3 linked regions of the Neurospora crassa OR74A genome follow. The protein of the gene in region 2 purifies or fractionates together with the protein of the main gene of each other region. This does not show direct contact. Links are inferred from orthologs where the notes say so. Each region holds a gene or a part of one and is shown on either strand. Other genes may lie near its edges.

Region 1 (5,926 bases), about 3.8 Mb from region 2:
AGACCGGACGACTATCAAGTTTGTACGCTTCCCTCGCTGTTTCCGCCCAGAGCCTTGTCTGAGCCTCGGGTCCCAAGCCGGCCATATGGCACGTCATCTCCACCACTCTGCGCCACTTCTTCCAGGCTTCATCACCAAGGCCTAGAGTGCACACCGGCCAGTCGCTGCCAAACATGATGCGTTCGGGCCCAAAGGCGGCTATCACCACAGCAAGCCAGGGTAGGATAGCAGAGAGAATTTCCTCGGCCGGGCGAGCCCTCAAAAACTCGGGCATCTCGCTGAAGCAGCCGCTCAGTTTCATGTAGGTACGGTCGCACTTGCTGAGAGTAAACATGGCGGTGCGCCAGGCGATGTATGAGGGATCCGTTTGTACATTGACGATGGTTAGATCTGGCTTGCAAAGGTGGTCTGAGATGAGAACCATCAGTTAGCAAGCAAATCATGCAGAATGTGTCAAGGTAAAAACTTACTCAGGATAAATACCACTTTGTCCTCCTCGTCCACACCTTCGTGTGCACGGTCGATCATTTCTACCGCCTCCTCCAGTTGGATTCTCCCTCTTTTGTGCTGGTCAACACCCAGGTCAAAGACGAACTTCTTTCTGCCAAGCAGCTTCAGGCCCTCGATAAAATCGTCACTTAGGGCTGTTCCGTTGGGCTTATCTTGCAGCAAGTAGCGGAAACCCTTCACCTTGGCCCATGTTTCAGGCCCGGCTTCCTTTTCCGCAGCTGCGAGATACTTTTCCAACTCGGCAGAGCCCAATACAACCGGCGCCCACGGCACAATTCCGAGACAATCACGGCCATCGTCAGCCGTGTGGCCCTCGCCAGGCTTCGGTTGGCCGGTTACGATGCGGCGAAGCCATGCGATCTCTTGTAGGGGGTAAGTCCAATCCTTAGCATTGTCGTTCTTGCGGTCGACCTCAATTGCGACGTAGCCCTGAAGATTGCCAGGCGCACCGGTGGCGGTCTGGTATTCCTGGATGGAGTGCTGCTTGGCGAGAGGATTGTCTTCAGCGTACCACTGGTGGGATTCTACCTCGGACTGGGGATAGAGGTGCACATGGGTGTCGATGATGGGAACGGAAACGGCGGGAGATGATGCCATTTTGATCAGGCCGTTATCGAGCTCGAGTTTGGTAAAGCGACGGATATGTTTGGCAAGAAAGTAAGGTATCCAGTGATAGAGAAAGAGAAGGAGACAAGCGAAGCAAGCAAAGTCAGAGATGACAGGAAGTAGGAAGGTCAGGACGTCGAAGCGGTGTACCGTCCTGCAGGCAGACCAACGCTGAACACACAAAAGTAGAGGTATGGATGGGATGTAACTGAGGCAACGGGGGAACTTCCAATCGAGCCTTCTCCTTCTTATATTTTGTATTCGTTTTAGCATAGGCAGGCACGCGCTACAGTACGAGGAGAGTACCTCGATGGTCAGGAGGGGGTGGGAGATGGGATCGACACAGACAGCCAGGAACCACGACGAGGTGGGGTACGTTCGGCATGCAAAGGGCAGGCCCAAGACGGGACAATTCACACCGAAAGATTCAAAGATAGGGTTCCTGATCAAGAATGGTTACCTCCCGTCTTCGGTTTCCATTTCCTTGAGGAACCCAAGGTCCTTTTCCCTTTCGTCTTCCTACAGCACCGGAAGAAAGATACCCTTGTTATGTACAGTCATCACATGATTGTGCGAATATATTAGCAAAAAGGGTTCTATCTGCAAGACCTGACAGAGAAATCATGACATGTTCCAAAAGCTTAAGAAGTGAACGAGGCCAAGAGGGAAGTTGAGCCCCTGGAACTTGCTGAAGTTGAGCTCTCGGGTGGGGTTTGATGTGGAGATATGGGGTTGGCGGGCAACTGCCATGCTTGTCAGAAGCGCTTGGCAGCAACACTCCCCGGCAAACGCAAACTACACGCGCTATACAAACTGGGGCCCTCCGCACGGACCGTGGATGCCTAGCAATTAAACTCTTGCCCCTCCTCGACGCGCTGCCAAACGCGTCGCTGCTGCAGTCCATTGTTTGTGTGAAATTTCCCCTCCAGACCACCATCATCATCAGTCCAACACACTCGATCCATCCGTATCTTGTCGGATCTTTCTTGACTTCTGCGCCCCAATCCTTGCATCTTCGAACACGACTCACGCATAAATCAACCTCAAAAACAACATCGAGAACGTCTCCACGGGCTTGACGCCAACACTACCCAACCAACATGGCGGGTCAAATCACACAGGGCGCTCTGGAGTAGGTTTCTTCACGTGTGCTTCCATCCAGTAGTATGACAGACTCTGACTTCTTGCTATAGCGCCATGTTCAATGATCCCGATCGCGCACAACAACAGTTCCCTGTCCCCATCCTTCAATGTCTCCAGATCAAGACCCTCGACTCCAAGAATGGGGGCGCGGGCGCCACGGAGAGGTTCCGCATTGTGCTGAGCGACCTCAAGAACTATGTCCAATGTATGATGGCCACGCAAACAAACCATCTTGTTCACGATGGCCTCCTGCAACGCGGCTGCATCGTGCGCTTGAAGCAGTATCAAGCTCAATGTCTCAAGGGCAAAAAGTACGCCTATCTACCCCTCCGCCAATTCGGGAAATCCATAACACTGACTGTTTAAATCCAGCATCTTGATTGTCCTCGATCTCGAAGTTATCCAGTCCCTTGGCTGTCCCGAAAAGATGGGCGATCCACAGCCTCTTGGCCCCCGCAGTGCAGAACCACAGCAGAACCCCAATCTCGGCAGCACCGGCTTCTATGGCGTCAAGAGCGAACCTACCCAAGACACGAAACCACAGTTTCCACGCCAGATGCCCTCGCGTAATGCCAGCGGGGGTCAGGGATCAAGCACGATATATCCTATTGAAGGTCTCTCGCCCTTCTCGCACAAATGGACCATCAAGGCCAGAGTCACCTCCAAGTCCGATATCAAGACCTGGCACAAGGCTAGCGGCGAGGGCAAGCTCTTCAGCGTCAACTTTCTTGACGAGAGTGGCGAAATTAGAGCAACAGGATTCAACGACCAAGTCGACCAGTTCTATGATTTGCTACAGGAGGGTCAGGTTTACTACATTTCTACACCTTGCAGGGTACAGCTTGCCAAGAAGCAATGGTCGAATCTCCCCAATGACTACGAGCTCACCTTTGAGCGGGATACCGTGATCGAAAAGGCCGAAGACCAGACATCTGTACCACAGGTACGCTTCAACTTTGTCAACATCCAGGAGCTTCAGGATGTTGAGAGGGATGCGACTGTCGATATTATTGGTGTCCTCAAGGAGGTCCAAGAGGTGACCCAGATTGTATCCAAGACCACACAGAAGCCGTACGACAAGCGCGAGCTGACCCTTGTTGACAACACTGGGTACTCGGTACGTTGTACCATCTGGGGTAAGACGGCCACGAACTTTGATGCTCAGCCTGAATCCATTGTGGCCTTCAAGGGCACAAAGGTCAGCGATTTCGGTGGACGCAGCTTGTCCCTGCTTTCGTCTGGCACCATGGCCATCGATCCGGATATTCCAGAGGCCCATCATCTCAAGGGCTGGTATGATAGCAGCGGCAGGAACAACACCTTCGCCACCCACAACAACATGCAGACCTTGGGTGGTGCGACCGGTCGCAAGGACGACGCCAAGACCATCTCACAAGTAAAGGAAGAGAACCTTGGCACAAACGAGGCGCCGGATTACTTCGCTCTCAAGGCAACGGTTGTATTCATCAAGCAGGATAACTTTGCCTACCCTGGGTGCCGAAGCGAAGGCTGTAACAGGAAGGTCACAGATATGGGTGATGGTACCTGGCGCTGCGAGAAGTGCCAGATCAACCACGATAGACCTCAGTACCGTTACATTATGAGCGTCAACGTCAACGACCACACAGGTCAACTTTGGCTTAGCTGCTTCGACGATACGGCGCGGGTCATCATGGGCAAGTCGGCCGATGAACTTATGGAGATTCGAGAGACCGACGAGACGCGGTTGCCCGCCGAGTTTGAGCAGGCCAACTGCCGCAAGCTGAACTTTAGGTGCAGGGCGAAGATGGACACATTTGGTGAACAGCAGAGGTACGTATCGGGGGTTATTCTCACGATTAGATGGACGTTGCTGACACATTGCTTGTTGCAGGATTCGATACCAGGTCATGAGCGTGGCGCCCCTTGACTACAAGATGGAAGGAAACAAGCTTAACGAGCTCATCAATTCTTACAACCAAATGAGCATGTAAAGGGGAGGGTGGGGTTTGTTCACTTATGCGAGGAACTAGATGATGTATATGGTTAATGAACACGTGTTTGTATTTTCGGGCATGTGGTCTCAAGGATGAACGATATGGGCATCACTGGCCTATCGACTGAAAGATGATTTGCAGTTTCATGATGGACTGGGATGGTTAAGAGCTGTGATGGGCCGAACCCTAACAGAACTTTGTTGGCGTGGCAGCAAATTTCGGCATGATTGCAGACTTGAATAGGTCTCTCAAGCGTTATCTTGGAGTTGAGACACTAGGAGACCTTCCTGTTCGAGTTATCTTCGATAACATGCCGAGGTAAGTACACACGCTTCGTTGACTAGAAGAAAGCTCCAGAGCTGGTCAAGGTCGGATCAGGGCGGTCCTTGCAATGTAATACGCACCTTTCGGGCTCAATATCCACATGGCAATCCGATCATCTCATCCGTTATCGGCCTTCTTCACCCTCTCGTATTCTCAAACTCTTCTATGCTTCAGCTTTTTCACGCAAAGAACCCGTGGCACAGCCTTTCCTGGTCATCTTTCTTCACTTTCCAACTTCCGTTATGTGAATAGGCACCCCGGCTCCGGTCTCTATGCGGACTGTTTAGCTGCTCGATACCGTATCGGCACTTATCGATTACGCAGATGGATGACAGGAACCTAAACGCCGTATCTTCCTTATCGGCCGTCGTCGGGATCCCCTGCCGTGACTCCACATATCCGCCGTCCAGACCCGCCCCCGCTCCGTTCCCTCGGGCCCCCCACTTTCGATGTAGCGGGAAGCTGACACCGAGTTCTAGAACAAAAGACTATTGAAATCACGTTTGAACCGTATTCGTGTCAGCACTAAGACCAAGTTAAACCTTTATCTTTGCTCATACTTCTCTATCCCATTCAGTGTCTTCTTGTTGTCTACTTACACTCATCACCTTCCACCAACATCAACAACAAAGTGACAAGCTTCAACCTCTCAAACCTCCAACGAAATGGCCGACCCCAGCACCACCCCTCCCCTTACCCGTGCCTCCGTCCTCGCCGCTCACTCCCTCATAAAGCCCTACATTCACGAGACGCCCGTGCTTACGAATACCACTTTCGACCAACTCGCTTCCACCCCTCGTACTCCCGAAGAGCTGCAAGGAACGGAATGGGAGGCTACCGAAAGACCGGCGAACCCAAAGATTCGGTTCTGGTTCAAGTGCGAGAATTTCCAGCGGATTGGCGCGTTCAAGGCTAGAGGAGCGTTTCATGCTGTGGAGAGGTTGAAGCAAACTGAGGGGTTAGAGGGGTTGAAGAAGGGCGGAGTAGTGACGCATAGTTCTGGTTTGTGAATTTCCGCTTTTTTTTTTTTTTTTTTTTTTTTTTTTTTTTTTTTTTTTTTTTTTTTTTTTTTTTTTTTTTTCTTTTAATCTGGATATGATGAGGTGATATCAGTATTGAGAGAAATGAGATTGTGAAGATGTGAAGTTTTTTTGAAGGCTTTGAAATAGGTTGAGTTGTCTGAATTGTCTTCTGAGATGTGATGAGAGTTGTCGATGTGTTCAAGACGTAGTAGCTACGTGAAGACCCAAACTGACGTGACAACGAACTAAAAGGTAACCACGCCCAAGCCCTTTCCCTCGCTGCCCGCGAGAACGGCATCCCGGCGCACATCGTTATGCCTACCATCTCGCCTCCGCCCAAGATCG
Region 2 (5,951 bases):
TCGGTTGTAGTGATGGCGGTAGTCGTTGAATGGACGGTTTCATCGGTTTTGGGCTTCTTTTCTTGGGATTCCTCGATGTGTTCGTTGTCCTCGTCAGATGCTTTGCGCTTCTTAGATGAGGAATTGCCGTTGACTTTGAGTTCCGAGGTGGTACTAATGGTTTGCTCCTCCTTCTTCAGATAGACAGGCGGTAGGAATCCTTCAGTACCCGCGTATCTCTTGATCCAGGGGTACGCCTCGACGCACTTATAGCAGATGAATCCCTCAAAGTCGTCATCGGCAGGGAAGCCAGGCGGTGGAGGTGGGTCGTCGTCTTCGTCTTCGTCTTCCTCTGCCTCTTCGGCATGGGCGCCGTTCTGTTCTGTTGTCTCATCTTCCGCAATTGTAGGTAGGGCACCATTTTCGGTCTTAACCTCCGTCTTCAGCGCCGCAGACTTGGGCTTATCCTTCTTGTCCATCTTCTCAAACCAATCCGGACCCAAACCCACGATGCACCCAGGATGGTACCAATCCTCCCCACAACCACCCGTTTCTGCCGTGCCTAGGCCCAGACATTGAAACATGGTCCCCTTCTGCTCAAACGGGTCATAATCGCACTCGCAGCCGCAGAACCGATTCCGGAAGTTATGGTTGTACTTGTTGTTGACATCTGGTTCCTCCGAGTGCACGCCGCCCTTGGTGCCCGTCTCCTCATTGATGCGCAGGTTGCACGGGCTCGTGGGCGGGAAGCGTGTGGTACCGCAGTCGCAGGTGAAGTTGCGCTTGGCAAAGATCTCGACGAGAGTGTGCTCGCCGTGACACTGGACGGAGCAGGAGTAGCAGATGCCGGCCGCATTGTAGGGCGCTTTCGGGTCGGCGGGTGGTGGGTTGCAGGTCAGGCAGGAGAAGACGGCCTGGCGGAGGGGGCCGAGGGGCTTGGTGCAGGTTTCGATGCTCTGGTGGGAGGTTAGGATTGACTTTAAGGAAAAGGGCAGAGAAGACAAGGGACACGCACGTATGGAAGAGCTTCGCGAGCGTCGGCCTCTAGTTGCATTTGGTCGCGGATGAAGCTAGACCATGGTTAGTACTTTGTCATGTGGTAAGTCCAATATATGACAACATACTCTGCGGCAGTCTGAGAGTTTTCTGACTTGGCGGAGAAGCTTTCAGTACGAGTCTTGGTGAGCGCGACTGGTGCTGGAGCTCCATGGCCATCTGGAGTGGCCTCGGCGGGCTGTTGCGCCGGTTGAGGGTCCATGGGTGATGGATGCTTTCACGGTCAATCTTGGATGGTCGGTGGTCTATCAAAATTGTTGATAAGACAAATGCCTCGAGATGGTGCTGGATCACGAAAGATGGGTTCTGTCCGGAAGTCTTTAAAACAAAAAACAATTGCTGGGGCGCGAAGAGGAGGAGGAGGAGGGGGAGGAGGAGGAGGAGGGCGCGTTGGTGGAAGCGTGGGGAGAAGGACCGAGCTTGCAATGTACCCTTGGTTTGGTGTAAGGCACTGTGGTCTATATGTCCAAGCAGCACAGATTGGAATTGGGTTCAAGGAAACCTATTTGAACGTGATCCGATCAATAACATGGCCCTGTAGTATGTAGCACCTTATAGCTCATGCTTTGCTCGTCATTGTTCACTGGACTTTGAGCTTTTGTGACTTTTTGGGAATCTCGACGAGTCGAATTGGCGTGTAAGAGCAGCACCAAGTGGGTCCGGTACGCATTGCCAAGCCCATTAAACCTCAGCAACCACTTAACGCGACCGCCCTTATCCGGCTTAGCGCATCACGTCTGGCGCGTCTTCCCTGGACTGCAACGCGAGAAAAAAGCAGGGACAAGGTCGCCGCAACGAAGGGCAACATTCATTCAGTGGTTCCTCGACGCTGTTTGTCTCCATTCCCCTCCCCCCCCCCCCCCCCTTCTCTCTCTCTGTCTCACCCCGCAACATATCCTCTTTCTGGCTGGCATTCATTCTCCATAGTAACAACTAGGCCAGCATCCTCCACTCTCTTGTTTCTTCCATCTGTAGCTGGCTACAGTCCTCTGAGATACCCTCAGCCAAGTCGCAATCATGAGGTATGTGTGCCTCTTGCTCTTTCGTCTGTCACGGCTTCTCTTCGCAAGTAAACAGTGAATTAACGGAAACTCTCCAATACCAGTTCCCCGCTTCGCGACAACCCGTCCTCTGCCAACCGTGGCGCCGTTCCCAGGGCCACTCGCAAGCGTGCGCGTAACGATCACGATGGTGCTTCCTCGCTTCCCCGCGCTTCGAGCCCTGTCATGCCCTCTTCTCCTCCCGCCTTCCCAGTTGCCCATGGCGCAGATGAGGACGACGACATCGAGGAAGACGTCGCCGCTGAAATCGAAGACGACATTGACGACCTCGACGAGTTGGCCGAAGACGATGTAGATTTGTTCCGCGAAGGCTTCGAGCGCGATTATAGGGAACGAGACGAAAACGACGCCTACGAAGGAATTGACATCGACGATGACGAGTATGAGGCCCTCGACCCCGCCGCAAGGCGCCGTCTTGAAGCCAAGTTGGCCCAGAGAGACCGTCAAGTGAGGATGGGAATGGGCACCACGTATCTTCCTGGTGATGACGACGATGGTGATATCGACCTTACCAACCTGGAACGCCGCCGAAGAATCCGCTACAATGAAGACCCCGATGTCGATATGGATGGCGACATTATGGACTCGGAACTTCCCCTCGAGGCCCTGATGGATGTCAAGGCTGCCACTTTGAGCGAATGGATCTCAGTCCCGGCTGTACAAAAGACCATCCGCAGAGAGTTCAAGGCTTTCCTCACAGAATACACCGACGAGAGCGGTTCGTCCGTCTACGGCAACCGCATCCGTACTCTTGGTGAGATCAACGCCGAGTCTCTCGAGGTCTCCTACGAGCACCTCGCTACAGCCAAGGCCATTCTCGCATACTTCCTCGCCAATGCGCCAACCGAGATGCTCAAGCTCTTCGACGAGGTTGCCATGGAAGTCGTCCTTCTCCATTACCCCGACTACGAGCGCATTCACGCCGAGATCCACGTCCGTATCTTCGACCTTCCTATCCATTATACCCTCCGTCAGCTCCGCCAGTCGCACCTCAACTGTCTTGTGCGCGTGAGCGGTGTCGTCACCCGCCGCACCGGTGTCTTCCCCCAGCTCAAGTATGTCAAGTTCGACTGCACCAAGTGCGGCGTCACTCTCGGTCCCTTCCAGCAAGAGTCCAACGTCGAAGTCAAGATCTCTTACTGCCAGTCCTGCCAGTCTCGTGGCCCCTTCACCCTTAACTCCGAGAAGACCGTCTACCGCAACTACCAAAAGCTCACCCTCCAAGAATCCCCCGGCACCGTTCCCGCCGGTCGTCTGCCCCGTCACCGCGAGGTCATTCTCCTCTGGGACCTGATCGACAAGGCCAAGCCGGGCGAGGAGATCGAAGTAACGGGCATCTACCGCAACAACTACGACGCGCAGCTCAACAACCGCAACGGCTTCCCCGTCTTCGCCACCATCCTCGAAGCCAACAACATTGTCAAATCCCACGACCAGCTCGCCGGCTTCCGCATGACCGAGGAAGACGAGCACGAGATTCGCCGTCTCTCGCGCGACCCGCACATTGTCGACAAGATCATCAACTCCGTCGCCCCTTCCATCTACGGACACACCGACATCAAGACCGCCGTCGCCCTCTCCCTCTTCGGCGGCGTCGCCAAGCAAGTCGGCGCCCACCACATCCGCGGTGACATCAACGTGCTGCTCCTCGGCGACCCCGGTACCGCCAAATCACAAGTACTCAAGTACGCCGAAAAGACGGCCCACCGCGCCGTCTTCGCCACCGGCCAGGGTGCTTCCGCCGTCGGTCTGACGGCTTCCGTCCGGCGCGACCCGCTCACGTCCGAATGGACTCTCGAGGGCGGCGCCCTCGTCCTCGCCGACAAGGGCACCTGCCTGATCGACGAGTTCGACAAGATGAACGACCAGGACCGCACGTCCATCCACGAAGCCATGGAGCAGCAGACCATCTCTATCTCCAAAGCCGGTATCGTCACGACCCTGCAAGCCCGGTGCGGAATCATCGCCGCTGCTAACCCTATTGGCGGGCGGTACAACTCTACCATTCCCTTTTCTGCCAACGTGGAGCTTACCGAGCCGATTCTGTCTCGTTTCGACATCCTTTGCGTCGTGCGCGACACAGTCGAGCCTGAAGAAGATGAGCGGCTGGCGCGCTTCATTGTCGGGTCGCATTCGAGGAGTCATCCGTTGATGAACAACAACACGCAGGACGCTAGCGGTGGTGACTCCATGGAGGTTGAACACGATACCCAAGCTGCTGCGGAAACCCAACAAACTGGTGAACACGGCCGTAAAAAAGAGGGCGAAATCCCACAAGAGCTGTTGAGGAAGTATATCCTTTATGCCCGAGAGCGGTGCCAGCCAAAGTTGTATCACATGGATGAGGATAAGGTGGCGAGGCTGTTTGCGGATATGAGAAGGGAGAGTTTGGCGACGGGGGCTTATCCTATTACTGTAAGTTCTTCCCTCTTTCCTTTTTCCTTTTTTTTTTTTTTTTTTTTTTTTTTTTTTTTTTTTTTTTTTTTTTTTTTCTTTCTTCCTCCGTCACAAAATACAACACAATAACAACTGCTAACCTCACCCACCACCACCTTAGGTCCGTCACTTGGAAGCCATCATCCGCATCTCCGAAGCCTTCTGCCGCATGCGCCTTTCCGAGTACTGCTCCGCCCAGGACATTGACCGCGCTATCGCCGTGACCGTCGAGTCCTTTGTTGGCTCGCAAAAGGTCAGCTGCAAGAAGGCGCTTGCCAGGGCTTTTGCCAAGTACACGCTTAACAGGCCTGGTACTGGTAATAATGGCTCTGGGAGCGGCACCTCTCAGGGGAGGAGGGGCGGTGCTAGGAGGGGTGTGAGCGCTGCTGCTTGAGAGGTTCTGATGACTTTTTGAGGTATGTGGAGAGATATGAAATCATGCTTTTCGTGAAGGACCTGGGAAGATTACACGGTTGGGATTTGTTTGGGTCGCTTATGAACTTTGTGTAAAAAGGGCTTGATTAGAGCCGGAGTGGAGGCGTTGGGTATATCATCTTGTACGCTTGTTACGTATTGTGGATGGCATAGTGTCATATTTTCTTTCGGTTCAAGCGAAATAGAACCCCAAGTGATGAAACCAAAAACTGGCATTATCAGCAATCGTATTTGCCTCCACCTATCTACTATAGTGTCGTATCATTCCTTCATAACATCATAATGTAACTTTCCCTATTTTGTGATACGCTTGTCCCATCGTTACCACGCCAACAAGGCGAGAGCAACCAACCAATCTTCCATCTGATGCGTGTAAAACACCCACCGCCTCTTTCAAATACAGTCATTCAACTGTCCTTTCCTTCCCTCAAAACAATAGATAGACAATGCTACATCTCACAGCTTTAGTCCATACACACGTACGTCTATACGCGTAATGAAATACAAGACAATATGCCCTTCTCCCAAAGTAAAGCAAACAGTAGTTATGAAGCGCAAAACGCCAGAAACTTGTGGTGTCTCTACATCCCATTTCCCTTATAGTAATGCATCGCCCGCCTTTGCCACAAACGCCGATGTATGCATGAGAAAAGATCCAGTTGTGGTACCCATAACAATGAAACCAGCCGTAGCAGAAAAATGCAGAAAATATGACTGATCCTAATTTGTCCCATGCGAAATTAAGTTGCAGTCTTGCCACTGGCTTTGCCGATACAGCTAAGCGAGCAGATGGCCAAGGCTTCTAAAAGTGGTCGCTTAGCATTCCAATTGAATGCCCATAACGGAAAATAGTAGGAAATGTTGAGGGCGAGAATAGAGAAATGGTTCGGAGTAACCTTGATTCCACAGCCCGAAGCGGACTATGCCACTAAACTCTGTGAACAATCGAAAGACAACCGACCGCTGTTCCAAACGGTTATCGAA
Region 3 (5,956 bases), about 2.5 Mb from region 2:
CGAGCTGAGTGGTCTTGGTGGCGGCTGCGGCACCGCATACGCCCCTGCCGAAGGCGATGGTTTGGCAGGCTACTTTACCTTGAAAAGGGCCTAGAATGAGTTCGGTAGTGGAGGGGTGGTTGAGGGTGTAGAAGCCTATTATGTGGGCGGGTTAATTTGGATTTGGAAGAGGCTAAAGGAAAAGAGGGGAAGGGAGAGAGAAAGAGAGAGTCAAGTGTAGTGAGATGAGACGTATAGGTGTGTTTGACAGGCAAAGTAGTGACGCAGTGAGGAGAGGGAGATGTTGTCCAAAAAGGACAGGAATTTTCGACGAAGCAAGGTAAAATGAAAACTGAAAGAAGAGATAACGACCGTTGAACAAGCAGAGGTAGGAAGAAAAAGCTGGATTGGATCTTGAACAAAGATGAACACAACAAATACTTACCAGCCCAGTTGACCTGGTTGCTCGGAGCCGGAAGAGACTTGAAAGCGTGCCAGAGAAGGGCAGCGCAGTTGGACAAATTGCTATTTTTTAAAGAGTACATTAGCACTACAATGAGGATCTTGTACGTTCCATCTGTTGTTTTCAGGACGGACCATCCCGAGAAGGGGCTGTAGGGTACATGTGGGAGCCAACGTCGACTTACCAAACCTAACGAATGTCAATCATTCAGGTCACCTTTTTAGACATTGTCCCTTCCTGATGTGGTGGTGCAAGCAGGCTTGGTTCCTCATCTTACCCAGTTCCTCTGCTCATAGAACAGACCTTCAGCTTGGTCAAGAACCTGCTGGTAGGCCTCTTCCTTGGTGACGTTGGCAGCAAAGTTGGAAGCGTCGGCGTGAACCTATAAGACGAATACCGTGTTAGTCTCAACCGTCCTCAAGTTTGGAGAAGCCTGTAGTTCGTAGGTAGGTATGCGCGATGAGGTCTTCAACTGTCTCGAAACAAAGGATTGGACTGATTGAAACTGTTCACGAACCATTTTGACGTATTATTATGACCCTGTTCTTTCTATGTACAAATCTTGAAAATCGACCTAGAGTGGTGGTGTTGGACACCGAGGAAGCGAACTTCAACTTTTGAAATTTGTCATTCACTTCTGAATCCGGGGAAGTGGGGCCAAATGGCACTGCTCCGGTCGGGTCCGTGCGGAACTGCCGCCGTACCGGCAGCCGATGGGCCGGCCCCGAGTGGCCTCCGGTGGATTCACGGTTTCGATCCCAAAGAGGACCGGACTGAATCACCAGCCGGATAAAGGAATCCAAGATAATTGTGCGGATACTTACTAGATGGTGTGGGAGGCTCGTCCTCGCTTCATACTGGGCAGGATACAGCTCAAGGGCCCTTCTCGGAAGTTGTGCTGATGGCAGCTTGTCTTCTATTAGTGATCTGGACCTTATGATGTGCTGTCTAAGTTACCCGAACCAAGGTCCAGAAGATGCCCAAATGGTTGTCGAGACGGCAGCGGGAACTACTTATTTTTGCAGTACAGCAGCTCGCTTTGCAGTGAACGTCAAATCACGGACAAGTGATTGGTTCGATGGGCACAGTTCGTCGTCTTCCACCATTCAGTAAAGTTTCCCGTCGGGCAGATGTTAGCCAATTTTTCCATCTCATGGCGGTATCTTCCAGAATGCCGATCTATCAAGTATAGATGTGAAACATCACAGGTTTTCCGAGCGGCATCTTGGACATTGCTCTTTGCACTTGTACGCGGTGTCTGGGCCCGTCGAGTCTATTCTTGAAGATAGTGTTGCTGTCGTTTCGCACAGTGATTGCCATCACTCGTTCATTTATTCATTCAGGTTGACATGGGTATCAGCTCTAGGTTGATCGCTGCTGAGGACGTTCTTTGCGTCGAAGTAAAGAAAGGTGAGTTCTGGTTAGTACGTCTACTAGTATTTAAATGGAAGAAGTTCGGCACCCCAGAGCTTCCATCGCTTGCCAAGACTTAGTTTAATCGTACCTGTGCATTGGAAACTTAGCTCCACCCCTCCCGTCCCTCTGTTTCCATTCCACGCCCTGTCCCGCCTGTCCCTCTTTCATCTCCATGCACTCGCTGCAGGGCACCTAAAGAAAGAGGTACAAGTTCGACTTACAAAGTTAACAGAATCGCAAGTTGTTGGAAGTCCCGACGACACCATTTACGCTCGTCTATTTCCATCATTCATCAATATACTTCTCTACGATTCCCATACTACAGACCTTTCAGGAATATCACCATTGCCGTGGCAACCAGCATATATAGTTGCCTCAGGCACAGAACAGAACCTCTTAGGCATCCTAACGCGAAGGCAGTGGACAGGGGCGCCAAGAGCTGTGGCCCGTGACGTGAGCGACGCGCGACACGGGAATTTTTGTGTCTTTGGCCTGGAACCGGATCCCGGCTGGCAAGCACTGTAAAGTACTAGCAGTGCCGGCTGGAGAGGTGTGGTAGCCTTGTTTCTGTCATCTTGAAGGGTGTCTGCCGCCACCGTCAGTACCAGAGCAAGCAGCCCCTCGCCAAAAGCACGACTTCACCCAAACCCAAACCTCTGCTGATTTGATTGTTTCTGCCATCTTCAATCGCGCGCCGCTGTGCCGTCGCTCATCATGGCAGACATCAAAATCGACAGCAAGGTCTTCCAGGAGCGCGTCTCGCACTTCTACAATGCCTGGAAGGCCGACAAGCGCTCCGGAGACGCTCTCTTCGGTGGCGTCTCTTCCATCGTCATCCTGATGGGCAAGGTCGACGAGAACCCCGAGTTTCACAAGAACAACGCTATCCATGTGAGTTTTGCCCTCTGGAGAGCCCGCTCGGCGTGCGCTGGCTGTACGTCTGGCGGGCCATTCCAGTCAAATGACAGCTGCTGATAGCTCTACGTAAAGTTCTGGCTGCTAGGTTACGAGTTCCCGACGACCCTCATGCTGTTTACCCTCGACACCATCTACATTCTCACCACCCAAAAGAAAGGTTCGCCCGGTATTCCCGACCCAAGAACGCGGACAAACTATCTGACACGTTAATAGCCAAGTACCTCGACCAAGTGAAGGGCGGCAGATACCCCGTTGAGGTCCTCGTGCGGGGGAAGGACGCCGCCGAGAACGAGAAGCTTTTCATCAAAATTACGGATGCCATCAAGGCTGCGGGCGTAAGTTACATCCCATCCTGGGCGCACATCAACATCTCGGTGCGGTTCTAACACATTTTCGCTCGTTATAGAAGAAGGTTGGCGTCCTTACCAAGGACACCTCCAAGGGCCCCTTTATCGACGAATGGAAGAAGGTCTATGCCGATAACTGCAAGGATGTGGAGGAGGTTGACGTTGCCCAGGCTCTGTCTGCTGGCGCCTTCTCCGTCAAGGATGAGACCGAGCTTCGTGCCATGCGGACCTCGTCCAAGGCTTGCGTCGCCCTCCTGACCCCTTACTTCCTCGACGAAATGTCCAATATCCTCGACCAAGATAAGAAGATCAAGCACAGCGCACTAGCCGATAAGGTCTTCAACAAACTGGAAGACGATAAGTTTTGGAAGACCGTCGAGCTGCCCAACCGACAGAAGCTCCCGGCTGACCTCGATCCCGAGCAGCTGGACTGGATTCTGGGACCGATCGTCCAAAGTGGTGGCAAATTTGACCTGAAGTGGCAGGCTGATTCTGACAATGATATACTCCACCCGGGAATTATCATCGCGGCTATGGGTCTCAGATACAAGTCCTATTGCTCCCAAATCGCCAGAACTTTCATGGTCGATCCCAACAAGTCCCAAGAAAGCAACTACAAGTTCCTACTTGCTGTCCACAACCTCATTCTCAAGGAGATCCGGGATGGTGCCATTGTCAAGGATGTTTACACCAAGGCCTACAACTTTGTGCGGTCCAAAAAGCCCGATCTTGAGAAGCACTTTCTTAAGAACGTCGGCTTTGGAATCGGCCTGGAGAACAAGGACCCGACCTTGATTCTCAACAACAAGAACACCCGTACCCTTAAGGATGGCATGACACTGGTTGTGACCACCGGCTTCAGTGATATCCAGAACCCCAACCCCCAAGACAAGAACAGCAAGGTCTATTCCTTGATCCTTTCCGATACGATCCGTGTCACTAGCTCCGAGCCGGTGGTGTTTACTGGCGAGGCGCCTGTCGATGTTGATGCCACCTCGTTCTTCTTCAAAGATGAGGAAGAAGCACAGCCCACACCGAAAAAGGAGAAGCGGGACTCTAGGGTGGGTGCCGTTGCAACCAAGAACATCACTAGCACTCGTCTACGCTCTGAGCGTAATACAACGGTAGATGAGGACGCGGACAAGAGACGTCGCGAGCATCAGAAGGAACTCGCGCAGAAGAAACAGAAGGAAGGCTTGGCCAAATACGCCGAATCTACCGCTGATGAGAATGGCGTCGAAATCAAAAAGTTCAAGCGCTTCGAATCTTACAAGCGGGATAATCAATTCCCGCCCAAGGTTAAGGATATGGGCATCGTTATTGATCAAAAGAACGCGACCATAGTACTGCCTGTTATGGGCAGGCCGGTACCCTTCCATATCAACACCATCAAGAACGCAAGCAAGAGTGACGAGGGCGAGTGGTCATTCTTGAGAATCAACTTCCTATCTCCTGGCCAGGGTGTGGGTCGGAAGGATGAGCAGCCCTTCGAAGATGCATCTGCGCACTTCGTCAGGAGCTTGACTTTCAAATCAACCGATGGCGATAGGTATGCTGACATTGCAAACCAAATCTCGAACCTCAAACGAGACGCTGTCAAGAAGGAGCAGGAGAAGAAGGATATGGAGGACGTAGTTGAGCAGGACAAGCTCGTTGAAATCAGAAGTAAGTCGCTTTCCCGGATCAATTGTATTGCAACATACTAATTAACTATCAGACCGTCGGCCCGCCGTATTGGATAATGTCTTCATCCGGCCGGCCATGGAGGGCAAGCGTGTGCCTGGTAAGGTGGAAATTCACCAGAACGGTATTCGCTACCAGTCACCTCTCAGCACAACGCAACGCGTGGATATCCTCTTTTCCAACGTTCGCCACCTTTTCTTCCAACCATGTCAGCACGAGTTGATTGTGATCATCCACATCCACCTCAAGGATCCCATTATCATTGGAAACAAGAAGAAGACGAAGGATGTCCAATTCTACAGGGAAGCCACCGACATCCAGTTCGACGAGACCGGCAATCGGAAGCGCAAGTATCGTTATGGTGATGAGGATGAGTTCGAGGCTGAACAGGAGGAACGCCGGCGCCGCGCAGAGCTGGATCGCCTGTTCAAGTCGTTCGCGGAAAAGATTGCCGAGGCGGGCCGCAACGAAGGCATTGAGGTGGACATGCCACTCCGCGACCTTGGTTTCAACGGTGTACCGTTCCGCAGTAACGTGTACATCCAGCCCACCACGGAGTGTCTCATCCAGATCACCGAACCTCCATTCATGGTTATCACCCTTGAGGACATTGAAGTCGCACATCTGGAACGTGTTCAGTTTGGTCTCAAAAACTTTGATCTGGTGTTTGTCTTCAAGGACTTCACGAGGCCACCATACCACATCAACACCATTCCTGTCGAGTCTTTGGAAGACGTCAAGGAGTTCCTTGACTCGTCTGACATTGCCTTCTCAGAGGGTCCTCTCAACCTCAACTGGGGTGTCATCATGAAAACGGTCACTGCCAATACCCACCAATTTTTCTTGGATGGTGGCTGGGGCTTCCTGCAGAACGACAGCGACGACGACGAAGTGGAGGAGGAGGAAGAGGAGAGCGCCTTCGAAATTGACGAGAGCGAATTGGAGGACGCTTCCGAGTCTAGCGAAGAGGATTCCGAATACGACTCCAACGCCTCGGAGGAGGCCAGCGATGAGGCGGAAGACAGCGAGGAGGAGGAGGGCGAGGATTGGGATGAGCTGGAGAGGAAGGCTAAGAAGCGTGACAGGGAGAGCGGCTTCGACGACGAGGAGGAACGTGCGGCACCCAAGAAGCGGAGAAAGTAGACTGATT

Evidence for each region.
Region 1: the proteins of NCU04327 (region 2) and rpa-1 purify together in Saccharomyces cerevisiae (affinity purification with western blotting; 4 studies listed by BioGRID). This does not show direct contact. The link is inferred for Neurospora crassa OR74A from reciprocal best matches to the Saccharomyces cerevisiae genes MCM2 and RFA1.
Region 3: the proteins of NCU04327 (region 2) and NCU01164 purify together in Saccharomyces cerevisiae (affinity purification with mass spectrometry; 4 studies listed by BioGRID, with this or other methods). This does not show direct contact. The link is inferred for Neurospora crassa OR74A from reciprocal best matches to the Saccharomyces cerevisiae genes MCM2 and SPT16.

The regions. Positions count from the first base shown.
Region 1 is NC_026505.1:1,821,550-1,827,475, forward strand, and holds rpa-1 (replication factor-A protein 1), read left to right. Parts: upstream 1-1,979; 5' UTR 1,980-2,216; coding exon 2,217-2,248; intron 2,249-2,309; coding exon 2,310-2,570; intron 2,571-2,631; coding exon 2,632-4,071; intron 4,072-4,132; coding exon 4,133-4,232; 3' UTR 4,233-4,659; downstream 4,660-5,926. Other genes in the region: NCU03605 (amidohydrolase), read right to left, coding at 1-408, 471-1,389; NCU03607 (threonine dehydratase catabolic), read left to right, coding at 5,225-5,561, 5,834-5,926. UniProt on the Saccharomyces cerevisiae protein: As part of the replication protein A (RPA/RP-A), a single-stranded DNA-binding heterotrimeric complex, may play an essential role in DNA replication, recombination and repair.
Region 2 is NC_026505.1:5,629,661-5,635,611, reverse strand, and holds NCU04327 (DNA replication licensing factor mcm2), read left to right. Parts: upstream 1-1,900; 5' UTR 1,901-2,052; coding exon 2,053-2,057; intron 2,058-2,140; coding exon 2,141-4,511; intron 4,512-4,653; coding exon 4,654-4,926; 3' UTR 4,927-5,187; downstream 5,188-5,951. Other genes in the region: NCU04328 (metaphase-anaphase transition protein), read right to left, coding at 1-935, 995-1,049, 1,104-1,237. UniProt on the Saccharomyces cerevisiae protein: Acts as a component of the MCM2-7 complex (MCM complex) which is the putative replicative helicase essential for 'once per cell cycle' DNA replication initiation and elongation in eukaryotic cells.
Region 3 is NC_026505.1:3,095,134-3,101,089, forward strand, and holds the start of NCU01164 (transcription elongation complex subunit), read left to right. Parts: upstream 1-2,009; 5' UTR 2,010-2,572; coding exon 2,573-2,749; intron 2,750-2,848; coding exon 2,849-2,933; intron 2,934-2,989; coding exon 2,990-3,111; intron 3,112-3,182; coding exon 3,183-4,788; intron 4,789-4,840; coding exon 4,841-5,949; 3' UTR 5,950-5,956. Other genes in the region: NCU01163 (GAF domain nucleotide-binding protein), read right to left, coding at 1-135, 425-504, 627-631, 720-824, 960-962. UniProt on the Saccharomyces cerevisiae protein: Component of the FACT complex, a general chromatin factor that acts to reorganize nucleosomes. The FACT complex is involved in multiple processes that require DNA as a template such as mRNA elongation, DNA replication and DNA repair.